Pelodiscus sinensis: one gene and its partners. Each later gene encodes a partner of the first gene's protein in a complex. Links are inferred from orthologs where the notes say so. Each region holds a gene or a part of one and is shown in the gene's direction. Other genes may lie near its edges.

Region 1 (3,747 bases):
GGGCCAGGCAGGTCCTAGGTGGGGGGTGTCCTGGGGGGGGGTCAGGCAGGTCCCAGGTGGGGGGTGTCCTGGGGGGGGTCAGGCAGGTCCTAGGTGGGGGGGTGTCCCTGGGGGGGGGTCAGGCAGGTCCCAGTGGGGGGGTGTCCCTGGGGGGGGTCAGGCAGGTCCTAGGTGGGGGGGGGGGTGTCCCGGGGGGGGTGTCAGGCAGGTCCCAGGTGGGGGGGGTGTCCCGTGGGGGAGGGTCAGGCAGGTCCCAGGTGGGGGGTGTGTCCCGTGGGGGAGGGTCAGGCAGGTCCCAGGTGGGGGGTGTGTCCCGTGGGGGAGGGTCAGGCAGGTCCCAGGTGGGGGGGGTGTCCCCGTGGGGGAGGGTCAGGCAGGTCCCAGGTGGGGGGGTGTGTCCCTGTGGGGGGGGGAAATCAGGCAGGTCCCAGTGGGGGGGGGGGTCAGGCAGGTCCTAGGTGAGGGGGTGTCTTTGGGGGGAATCAGGTTTTGGGGGGTGGGGTGTCCCTGTGTGGGGGATCAGGCAGGTCCCAGGTGGGGGGGTGTCCCCGTGGGGGAGGGTCAGGCAGGTCCTAGGTGGGAGGCGGGTGTCTCTGTGGGGGGTGCAGGAGTCCCCATGGGAGGTGTTGGGCCAGGTCTCTGCTGGGGAGGGCAGGTGATTCCATGGGATAGGTCAGGTCAGGCCCAAGCTGGAGGGAAGGAGGTTGGATCTCCCCTGCCCTGGGCCCAGGCCTGAAAATCCTGCCCTGCGCTTGCCCATTTGCACGGAGAGAAAGGGCACGCTGAGCGCTGGGCTTCGTACTCTGCGCGACCCCGGAGGAAATGAACTGACCCTAGAGCTCTGCAGAGCTGAACTTGATTCCCGGCTCCTCCTGAGTGGGAAGATCGCAGCTGGTGCCGTGGGGATGTGTTGATTTCTGTTCATTATACTGATGTGGGGTGCTTCCTCCCTCACCTGCAGGAGAGCCGAGGAGCGAGTGAAGCTACAGCTATGAACGCCATCGTCGCCCTCTGTCATTTCTGTGAGCTCCATGGCCCTCGCACCCTCTTCTGTACAGAGGTGCTGCATTCGCCGCTTCCGCAAGGCGCAGGGAATGGAGACAGCCCTGGGCAGAGCGAGCAAGCAGAAGATGAAGAAGGTGGCATTCAGATGAGCAGTAGGATCCGCTCACACAGCCCAGCAGAAGGTGCTAGTGCTGACTCCAGTAGCCCAGGGCCGAAGAAGTCAGATATGTGTGAGGTGTGTATATGAGCACCCTGTGTCCTTTGCTGAATGAATGGGCCATGGCTTCTCAATGAAGGGCGTGTTATTATTTGGGGCACGGAAAATGGCTTATACTTGCACGGAATCTCGAAACCCTAATAAACTATAGACTAGGGGGCTGTGCCCCCTGCTTGCATCTCTCTCCAAATCCCCTCTCGGCAGGGGAGGGCCCAGCCCAGCTGCCGGTGCCCCGGCTCTTTGTCACCCTGGCTCTTTGTCGCCCCTCCTATCCTGCCCCAGGCTCTTTGTCGCCTCTCCTACCCCAACCTGCCCTGGCCCTTTCTCCCCACCGCCACTAGACAGGGCCAGGCCATGGTGCACTAGCACCAGCTCTCCCCCAGCAGCTGGGGGGTCCGGGCCAAGGCGTGCGCAGAGGCTCGTGGCTTCCACCCCCCCATCCAGAGCACGGAAAGGAGGCTGGAGCGATGACCGCCCCAGCCTCACACTTACTTGGACCGCCATGGGGAAGTGCCTTCATAAACTCCACGTATGGGCCTGGAGGGGCTGCAGCCGATAGGGCTGCGGGCGAAGAGGCCGGTCAGTAGGGAAGCCTGCCATGAGAGCTGGTAGTGTGGCAAGAGGCTGTTTCCGGGGTGTGTTCTGGGTTGCAGTTGGGCGCGTGGCAACGCAGAGTGACGTGATGACTTCACTCTGTCATCCCACAGGAAAAAAATGTTTATCTATCTATCTATCTATCTATCTATCTATCTATCTATCTATCTAGAGAGAGAGAGAGAGAGAGAGAGAGAGAGAGAGAGAGAGAGAGAGAGAGAGAGAGAGAGAGAAATTGCTTTGCCATAGTGAACGCACAGCAACACTTACAGAAAAGTATAACGCAGGAAATGGAAACAAATTCTGTAGCCAGTTAAATGTATTTGCCCACGTTTTTGTGTGTGTCCATCCGTACCCCTTGGTGCTCTTCCACTTAACGTTAGTACCCTCTCTAATAATCCATTCCTAGTGTGCTTCGTGTCTCTCTAGTGGGGACAGATTTCAATATGTCAGTGGGTTCGCAGTTGCTTTACCACTAGCTGAATTTGGCCAGTTGCATAGCCCCTGTCAAATACAAAATCCAGTGAGGAAGTGAGTTGTGAAAGAGGCTGTAAGAGTGAAAGGATGGTTAGGAGGTGGGAGAATGGATCAAGTCCCTACTGCGCCGCAGACTTCCTGATCTAGAGTGAATCACTCTGCCTCTTGGTGCCTCAGTTCCCCGTTGTAAATACTTTCCTACCTCACTGGGTCTTGTGAGGATACTTATGCTGAAGATTGTTAGTCAGTCAGGTGCTGTGATAACGGGGCCTACATATAAGTATATTAAATAGTTGTCTCTTACTTTACTGTAAGATTTTTCTTTTCTTTCGGTGGCCAGGGTTGCCGCTCTCTTGCAGCAGGACACCCTGGATATGTCAGCCATGACAAAGAGACATTGATCAAATATGTCAGCCACCAGCACCCAAACCATCCGCAGCTGTTTAGCATTGTGCGTCAGGCTTGTGTCCGCAGCCTGAGTTGTGAGGTAAGTGATATGAAATTCAGCAAGAAAAATCTGTGCTGTTTCTAATCTAAAACTCAGCTTCACTGATATCGGCCTCCTCCACGGCTTGTAACTTGGAAGGGGTTGGAAATGGAATGCATGGCCAGAGGACCCTGGGTCTCAGTATTTGGCAGGAATTTTTTAAAGATGACTGCAAAGGACAAAAAATACCGGACTCTGCTCTTTGATGCATAAAGAAGGCATTTATATAAAATGTCCGTCTTTTCAGAGCGATGACGAGTTAATTTTGAACTTGCGTTATCTGATCACTTGGAATGCTATCTTGCGTGATTTAGCATACAAGGTAACTAATCTGTTCCACCTAGCTGTGCCTCTCTGAATACATTCCCAGACCTGCAGTAGAGCTATGTGTAGTCCAAAGGCGTGTCTCTCACCAACGTGTCCAGTAGATGAGATTACTTCACCCACCTTGTCCCCCTCTCATTTGATCTGTTACTGAAGAGAACCGGTGTTCACTTTGGGGGTCTACTCTACACCTGAAGCAAAGGCATTTGTATCTCAAGGCTGTGTGTTTGCTTTCTTGCTTTTGTCCCTATTTGTTTAACGTATTTATTTCCAAAATAAGCCTCCTTGCAGGCTGTTGCTCCTGATAAATGCTGTTTCTTACCTGGTGGACTGATAACTTACAGCCTTTACAAAAGGAGGGAAAACCTCACAGAAGTTGAGATTGCCCCAGCTCATGTACCCACTTCATCAGCTTTGCTGCTCCAGAATACAGCCGTGTTCTGAAGTGCCAGTTACCCTGAAGGTTGTGCCAGGTACATGGGGCAGCAGCAGAGATGTCTGGCTCTGCCTGTCAGGCTTTTATCTGTTGGGTGATGCTTCTGCCTGTGCCTCAGCAGGCAACACCCGAAGGAGTGGGAAAGCTCCTTTTGAGGGCTATGTCTAGACTGCAGACTTTTTTCGAAAGAGGCTCTTTCGAAAGATC
Region 2 (3,747 bases), on another chromosome or scaffold:
ACATTTGGTTTGTTTATAATGTGAAGCTTCCTCTTCATGCAAATCTTCACCTTCCTTCTCTGGGTATTGTATAGTCTGAACCGCCCACGTGAGTCACTTTTGCTTTCATTCAGATACTGCACTGTGGCACAGTCTCTTAAATCTGTAACTGGCAACTCTTTATGAAGGAAAGAAAGTAAAAAGCTGGATCAGTGGGGGGGAGCCTCCTATTTTTTATACCAGAGTCTTCAATTCCCATTGTCTATATATACACACACACACACACATATTTTGGATTCAGCACCTAAATTCTGCTAAATCTGGCCAGTCTCTGGCTCTAACCACTCTAATTCTGCCATATGAAGAGAGAACAGCTGAATGCTCTTCTTACACCAAAAAACACCTGATCCCTAATGCAGCAGGATCCAGCAATGCTGGAAATAGGTCAATTTGGCACCTGGATTCTGCCAGGGTCTAGCTCTCCACAGATTCCACTGCCTAAACAGAAATCCTCTTTTGCCACTCTCGTTGCACCTGAGAACTCAGGAATTGTCCCATCAAAATAGAGAACAAGTGGCACTTCTAGCACTCGAGGAAGAAATTCTGGCCTCTAGTAAATCCTGGTAGAAGAAAGCTGTAAAGACTCACCTGCATCCCACTACATTTAGCTATTTGTGACTTCGGCCCCTCCTCCCCAGTTTTACCAATTAATGCAGTACCGTCAGATACAGTTTCTACCAGAATAATCCAGACCATACTGGAAAATGGAAATGTTTCCTAAGATGCCGAAACAATTTCTGAGTTACCAGATCAGACACTAGATCCCAGTTTTTTGCCTCCTTGCTGAGCTGGGGCCCATGAGGTTCGACTGTTGCATCTGGAGTCTATTCTCTATTTAGGCAGAGACTGTTTCCCCCCGAGGAGCAAAAATTCAGATCCGTCCGGCCGCCTGTACCCTGTCCTAGCGGTTTAAACCATTTGCTCTGAGGTGCACCGGGCCCTATGGGGGCTTTGCTGAGAGAGGGAGGTCTCTGCACACTCGTTCTGTATTTTTGTGGGCGGATCAGGGGAATCCTAGTTGGATCAAACAGGAGCTACGTGCAGGAGCAAGGCTGTTGCAATGGGATCCTGGCAGCCCCGGCGTTAGATTCGGTATCCTAGGAGAGCTTCGATTTGTTCTCCATTTAACAGTGGAATGGGAGGGGGTTGCTGCTGCGGCCAAAAAATAGCTGGATCTGTCCAGTTTTCCCCCGGCCCCACCAAAACCTAGCGGGCCTGCTTGAGCAGAAAAGCCCCCCACGTGGTGCTGGGGCCTCAGCCACTCAGCGGTGCACGGCCCCGGAGAAACCCCTCCCGGGCCCGCCTCCCTGCGATCCTCCTCTTCTGGCAGCTCCAAGTGACTAATTTTTGTCATATGACTGTGACACCAAATGGAGTCGGGTTCGCGGAACTAGCTGCCTGCCGGAGGAGTTCGCTGCTCCAGCCCCAGCGCCTCCGCTGGGTGCAGCGGGGAGAGAAGGAGGCTGGGGGGCAGCGGGGAGCAGCGCGCCCCAAAATGCCACCCACCTTGTTCCAGAAGCTCTTCAACAAGAAGCCCGGGCTGAGTTCTCCTGCCAGGGACTCCAGGGAGGAGTGTGTCTTCAGGTAACGCGGGGGGAGCCCTGGGCAGCCCTTCCCTCTCTCTCGCCCGTGCTCACAAACTTGGACCAGTTCGTTACTTTCTAGCCTGTTTGCCTGATGCAAACTACTCCTCGCCCCTGCTATGGAAGAGGCCAGAGAAGAGAGGATCGGGGGGGGGGGGTGATTTTGCGCTCTGTCTGGAGGGCTCTGGTGTGCAGGATTGGATACACTGACTGAGCTGGCCCCCTGCAATCCTCCCCTCCCCCGTTTGACACACACATTTGGTGTGTTGCCTCCTTTCCCTTCTTCCCAGCCCCTTTCCCGGGAGAGCCCTGGGAGTGGAGAGGCTTCTTGGCCTGGGTTCCTCCCGCTACACAAGAAGCTGGACGGAAATCCCTGATGCGCTTTTTGCAATGCACTGGGACGCATGCAACATTGTTTCTCCCGAGTGTTTCCTAAAGGTGCCCTCCGTCTATTCTCCTCCAACGCAACCCCTTGGGGATCCCGGCCCCCCGAGCCCTTCGCTCTGCAACAAGTCTTATTTTCATTGCCGTCCTTCTTTGTAAAAAAGTTGCAAAGCAGAAGTAGCCTCTTAGCGCTTCCCAAGATGGGTTGCTTCCTCTGATTAGGTTGTGACTCTTCCTTTTGGCGTGGGTTGGGATTTCTCGCTTCCCTTTCCCCGTCCTCCAATTCCTTTGTTAACTTTATTTTATTTTATTTTATTGCCTTTGATGTTTTGACGCACTTTTGAGGCTGCAGATTTAACAAGCCCCCTAAAAAAGACGCCATTCTTTTGACTTTCTTGAAGTGGCGAGGTGGTTGCTATCTGGAAAGAGCCACCTTAATAAATACTAAGAGGGAAGAGCAAATATGAAATGCAGGCTGCCAACAGAAGTGTAAGGTTACTCTTAAAATCTGTCATGATCTAACCACAACAAAACTGAATCCACTAAGCTTCCAAACACAAGACTGCAAGAAAAATGCTTGCACCCTCCTTACAAATGCTTCGCCACCTTTATCTCTTAACATTAAACGTTTCAATTTAAGCTGATTGTATGTGTAATTCCCTGTATTTCTAAAATGCTAACAGAATATGGTTTTTTGTTGTCTGGAGAAAGCAGATCCCTAGAGATCCAGGGACACCTGTGTGGTATAAGGACTTGAATTTGCAGTTTTTTATGAGGACTCCAGTGTAAAGTTAAAAATCAGGACCAGAACTACACTTTTGGCAGTTTGTCCCTATTGTAACTTATCAAAATTCTAAAAATAAGATTAAAGGTTGATCTAGCCAAAGGTATTTTAGGGTCTATAAAATAACAGTAGTAATGGATAGACAGAGCAATAACCATCTAGTAGATTTGTGTAGAAAAATCTGGTCTAGTTGCAAACTATTAATTTAAACCACTATCATGACTTTGTAACTGACATGTAAATAACACTTTGCATTTGTTGGTGTGAATTGCGGGGTGTGAATATTTACATTTTAAATTGACTGCTTGGAACAGCTCTCCATTTAATATTTTAAATATCTTTGTAAGTTACATTACACAATGTGATGGGTAACATGTAGACCTGAGGGCTGCCCTCTGGATCTGTACTGGATTACAGTACCATCTTTCTGTAGTTCCTGAGACCCAGTCACTGCAAACATCGGGGATGGTAAATACTAAACATACCCATTTATTCTCTCAAGAAAACCATTTTCACAGCATACTGATTGATCTTCCATGTTTTTATGAAATAACCTAGAATCCAGTGCCATAAATGTTGGAATACACCTGTAGCAAAATTGGTTTATAGCTTCCCAAACACCTCCATTTCATTTTCCAGCTGAGTAATTTATTTTATTTTACTGACATACTGGGTGGGCCAAAATTTCTTCTTTAACAGAGAGAGAGAGAGAGAGCCAATTATATTTTACCTGATTTTTATGCTGTCCAGACACTTCTTAATGATAAACTTCTACTGAGGATTTAGTGTACAACTCAACAGCTGTGTTCCATACACTAGGGATATTTAGGATTGTGTGTTGTAAGGAAGAAAATATTACTATATCATCTTCTGAGGTCTTCCTCCTCCCCTTTCTTTAATACAGAACACTGTGTGCCAGGACAGGATGCATATATTTAAAATTACCTCCCTGCTAGT
Region 3 (3,747 bases), on another chromosome or scaffold:
AATGACACTGATAGGGCTGCAGTGTCATCCCTGCCCAAATTATCAAACTCCTGGGTCAGGTCTGCCAGAAGCCATGAGATTGGCTTAAAAATGACAAGATCTTCCAAAAATAACATGTATTTGCTTTTTTTTCCTGAGTCTTTAGATGTCATGCTTATCAGTTTTTCCTCTACAACTGCAATGTCCCCAGACAGTAGGTTGGTGGTTTTGTTTTGAATCACCAGCCTCCTCATATTTGGTGTCTGATTTCCAGCATGAACACCTGAAGTCCTATAGAAGTCAGATAGATATGGAGCTGATGGGTTTTTTGCGGGGGAAAAAAATCTTGTAAATGTGACCTACATATTCCTAAAGGCTCGAAATCCAGCAAGCAAATAAAAAGAACACAAAATTGTTCTAGGGGGCTGACCCGTGGGTCTCTTTCTATCTCTTCCCTTTCTACATGCTTGGCATTTGCAACATGGCAATCGTGAAGTTTAGAAACTTTGTTTTCATGAAAGCTGAGGTTCAACTGACTCCAGCAGCTGGGGATGTTAAAAAGACCCAAAATGTGTGAGTTGTCTGTAGCTTGTATGAAGGTAAATGGTATGTTTCCTGTGGTGTGATTACAGGAGATCACAGTAGTTGTGTGAACTGCTAAGGACTGGGGTCGTTTGGTGTGTAGCACCAGCGGTATGCTAGTCACCCACAAAGAGAAATTGCCCTGCAATCTGTGTGCATGAAATGCCCTGTCTATGCAACAGAACTGGAAAAGAACTACAACTCCCAGCCTGCTGTGGGCTGAAGTCGCCCTGCACGGGTTGATCAGCTGATGGGGAAGCAGGCTCTCTGAGCTGTGTGTGTTTCCACCACTGCAGGGAGGAAAAAGGATCTGTTGCTACCATGCTGCGCCCGAAGGCCCTAACCCAGGTCTTGAGCCAAGCCAACACTGGAGGGGTCCAGAGCACCCTGTGAGTATAAAGGGAGTGGTGGGGGAGAGGAGTGGGCATGGCTGGGTATGGATCAGGGAACCCTGTCCCTGAAGTATTGTGACCAGATCAGTGGTCCCATTAAGGATTAGTGCCCCCTCCTCCAAAGGGTCTTCCCCTCTCCCTACATCTCCCACTTCATGCCCCGGTAGGAACAGAGACATCTTGGTGGCCCCCCACCCAGCTTCAGTTGTGTTGTACAATTCCTTTTCTGAAAAGTGGGGAGGAAGAAGCAGCCCAGTGCACCCTAATAAGGAGTAGTCCCTCCTCAGAGGCATTAGATGTGGATGGGGGGGGGGGGGGGTCAGCATTCCCTGTAAGCTGAGTGCTTGCCTTGGACAGTCACCTAGGAGAGATTCAAATGCTGCCCAGCTGATTAGCAGAACACTTGCAGTGCCCACAGCCAGTAACCTATTTCTGCTGGTGGTGCACATTTGCACATAAATTTTATTTTCCATATGGGTGGAAAAAATTAGAGGGCACATTGATAGGGGTAAAAGGGTCTGGCCAGGACTTCCTCCAGAAGGCATTGTGGGGGACAGGGGATGGGAACTTGGAGAGCAGATTACTAATATTTTCCCTGCTGAAGCCCTGGGGAGAGGTATGTCAGTGAAGTACACTTTGGTGTTGTTGCATGCAGGTAGTCTGTTTTTCTTGCGTAGATCTTCTCTGTGCTGGGTCTGCATGTGGGTAGCCACATGAAGGCAAAGAAATGGGGGCGGGGAACAGTTGCATCTGTATCGCCTGCAAATCCACAGATCACTCTTACAAATGCAGATGTGGATACAAACGTTGAGGCTGTGCCAGGAGTTGTGCTCCCAGCACTGTAGTCTGGTTCACACTGGCACTGTGCTGTAACTTACTGCGCTCAGGGGTTGCGGGGGGGCACCCCTGAGCCAAAAAGTAAAGTGCCAGTGTAGACTTAGCCCGTGCGCACTCTCAGGCTGAGGCTGTATCCAGAGCAGTATCCACAAGACAGTAAAATAAAAAATTTGGGAGGTCCATTCCCCCACAGCCCTCTCTTCCTAGGAGCTGCTGCACCCATGGAAAAAGAGCACCCCTGCTAGAGAGGAAGGATGGTTTGGGGTGTGTAAAGTAAAGCTCTGCCACTGCCTTATCTGCCCTTGGTCTTATCACTTCGCCTTGGATACCCTCTCTAAAATGAGGGTGAGACATGCCTCAGAGGGGATGTCACGAGATTCCGTGTGTGTTCTGTCTGATCAGATACTAAGGTGATGAGCACCATAGAAACCCCTATGAGTGAAGTCCGTGCCTAAGCAGAAGTGGCACAAAACCCTGTGGGCTCTTGGCTCAAATTCTCCCCCTCTGTCCTTTGTAGACTTCTGAACAATGAGGGATCTCTACTTGCGTATTCTGGTTATGGAGACACAGATGCCAGGGTCACGGCGGCCATCGCCAGTAACATTTGGGTGGCCTATGACAAGAACGGTCACCAGGCTTTCAATGAGGACAACCTGAAATTCATCCTTATGGACTGCATGGTACGTTGTGAGGTGCAGGGATGGGGCAGGGATTCATTCCTACAGGAAAGGCTCAGTTTTTCAGCAGTAGAATGCTGCTACATGTCTCCGCTCTTATCAGTTTAACCCATAGATCCCTGAAACAGATGTGGAATTGGATCACAGGACTCCAGATGCCTGTTCTCCGCTCTTCCATGGACTGATATAGGTTAACTGCCTCTTTTCTGCCTCAGTTTCCCCATGTATAAAACGAGGATAATAGCTGCACCGTGGGGTAAGGCTGAAGTTCAGATTAAGTACTTAGATGCCATAGCAACACAAGTTATCCAAAGCCAAAACTTGAAGCAGGTTGCCATTCTTCCTTCTCCCTCGCACACATGCGGCTGAAAGATCTTATTTCAGAGCAAATGCCTTGCTCTTTAAGAATGACCTAGGCTTTCAAGTGTGATGGGACAATCTGATGGGATAATGTTGGTCAATTTGTTTGATCACCTTGTGCAGGGCAGTAAGAACATAATACCTTGCTCTGAAGCAGCATTCTATCATCAAGTCTCAGGGGTAGTTGTGTTAGTGTGTATCCACAAAAACAACAAAGAATCCATTGACACCTTAAAGACAGATTTATTTGGGCATAAGTTTTTGTGGGCAAAAACCTGCTTCGTCAGGTGCATGGAGTGGAAGTTACAGAGGCAAGCATTAACATACTGTACAATTTCCATTCCATGCACCTGACGAAGCAGGTTTTTGCCCACAAAAACTTATTCCCTTATAAATCAGTCTTAAGGTGTCACAGGAATCTATCATCAGTAGGTTTCTAAGCAATTCACAAAGGAGGGTCGTCTCCAGTCTTACAAATGGGAAAGAAATGAGGTGACTTTCCAAGGTTAGCCAGTGCCAAAACTGGAAAGAGAATCCAGGTCTCTTGAATTCCCAGCAGACTGCACCACAGTGCCTTCCCAGTGGAGATTTGGATCCCCAGTGTCTGACTGTAAGAGCAGAAGGTTAAAATGTCCGGGACATGGGGGTTCTAGAGTGGAAACCTATCCTTCAAATCCTCTTTTTTTTTTTTTTTTTTTTTCTTCTTCCCTTCTGCCGGCCTCCCCTTCTCTCCCTCTTCCACCCCTCCCCCCCCCCCCCCGCCAACTGCAGGAGGGTCGTGTTGCTATCACTCGGGTGGCGAATCTCTTGCTGTGCATGTATGCAAAAGAGACCGTTGGATTTGGGATGCTGAAAGCCAAGGTGATGCGGAGCTGCCGGATTGCATTTGGGGCGGGGGGCAGCTGTGTAGCTGCAGTTTG

Evidence for each region.
Region 2: FLCN (region 1) and FNIP1 share a complex: the UniProt entries of both Homo sapiens proteins name them as parts of the lysosomal folliculin complex. The link is inferred for Pelodiscus sinensis from reciprocal best matches to the Homo sapiens genes FLCN and FNIP1.
Region 3: FLCN (region 1) and LAMTOR2 share a complex: the UniProt entries of both Homo sapiens proteins name them as parts of the lysosomal folliculin complex. The link is inferred for Pelodiscus sinensis from reciprocal best matches to the Homo sapiens genes FLCN and LAMTOR2.

What each region holds. Positions count from the first base shown.
Region 1 is NC_134726.1:33,890,895-33,894,641, forward strand, and holds the start of FLCN (folliculin), read left to right. Parts: upstream 1-991; coding exon 992-1,240; intron 1,241-2,633; coding exon 2,634-2,780; intron 2,781-3,747. UniProt on the Homo sapiens protein: Multi-functional protein, involved in both the cellular response to amino acid availability and in the regulation of glycolysis.
Region 2 is NC_134727.1:26,107,933-26,111,679, forward strand, and holds the start of FNIP1 (folliculin-interacting protein 1), read left to right. Parts: upstream 1-1,371; 5' UTR 1,372-1,393; coding exon 1,394-1,623; intron 1,624-3,747. UniProt on the Homo sapiens protein: Binding partner of the GTPase-activating protein FLCN: involved in the cellular response to amino acid availability by regulating the non-canonical mTORC1 signaling cascade controlling the MiT/TFE factors TFEB and TFE3.
Region 3 is NC_134734.1:16,810,796-16,814,542, reverse strand, and holds the start of LAMTOR2 (ragulator complex protein LAMTOR2), read left to right. Parts: upstream 1-790; 5' UTR 791-882; coding exon 883-950; intron 951-2,307; coding exon 2,308-2,470; intron 2,471-3,598; coding exon 3,599-3,688; intron 3,689-3,747. UniProt on the Homo sapiens protein: As part of the Ragulator complex it is involved in amino acid sensing and activation of mTORC1, a signaling complex promoting cell growth in response to growth factors, energy levels, and amino acids.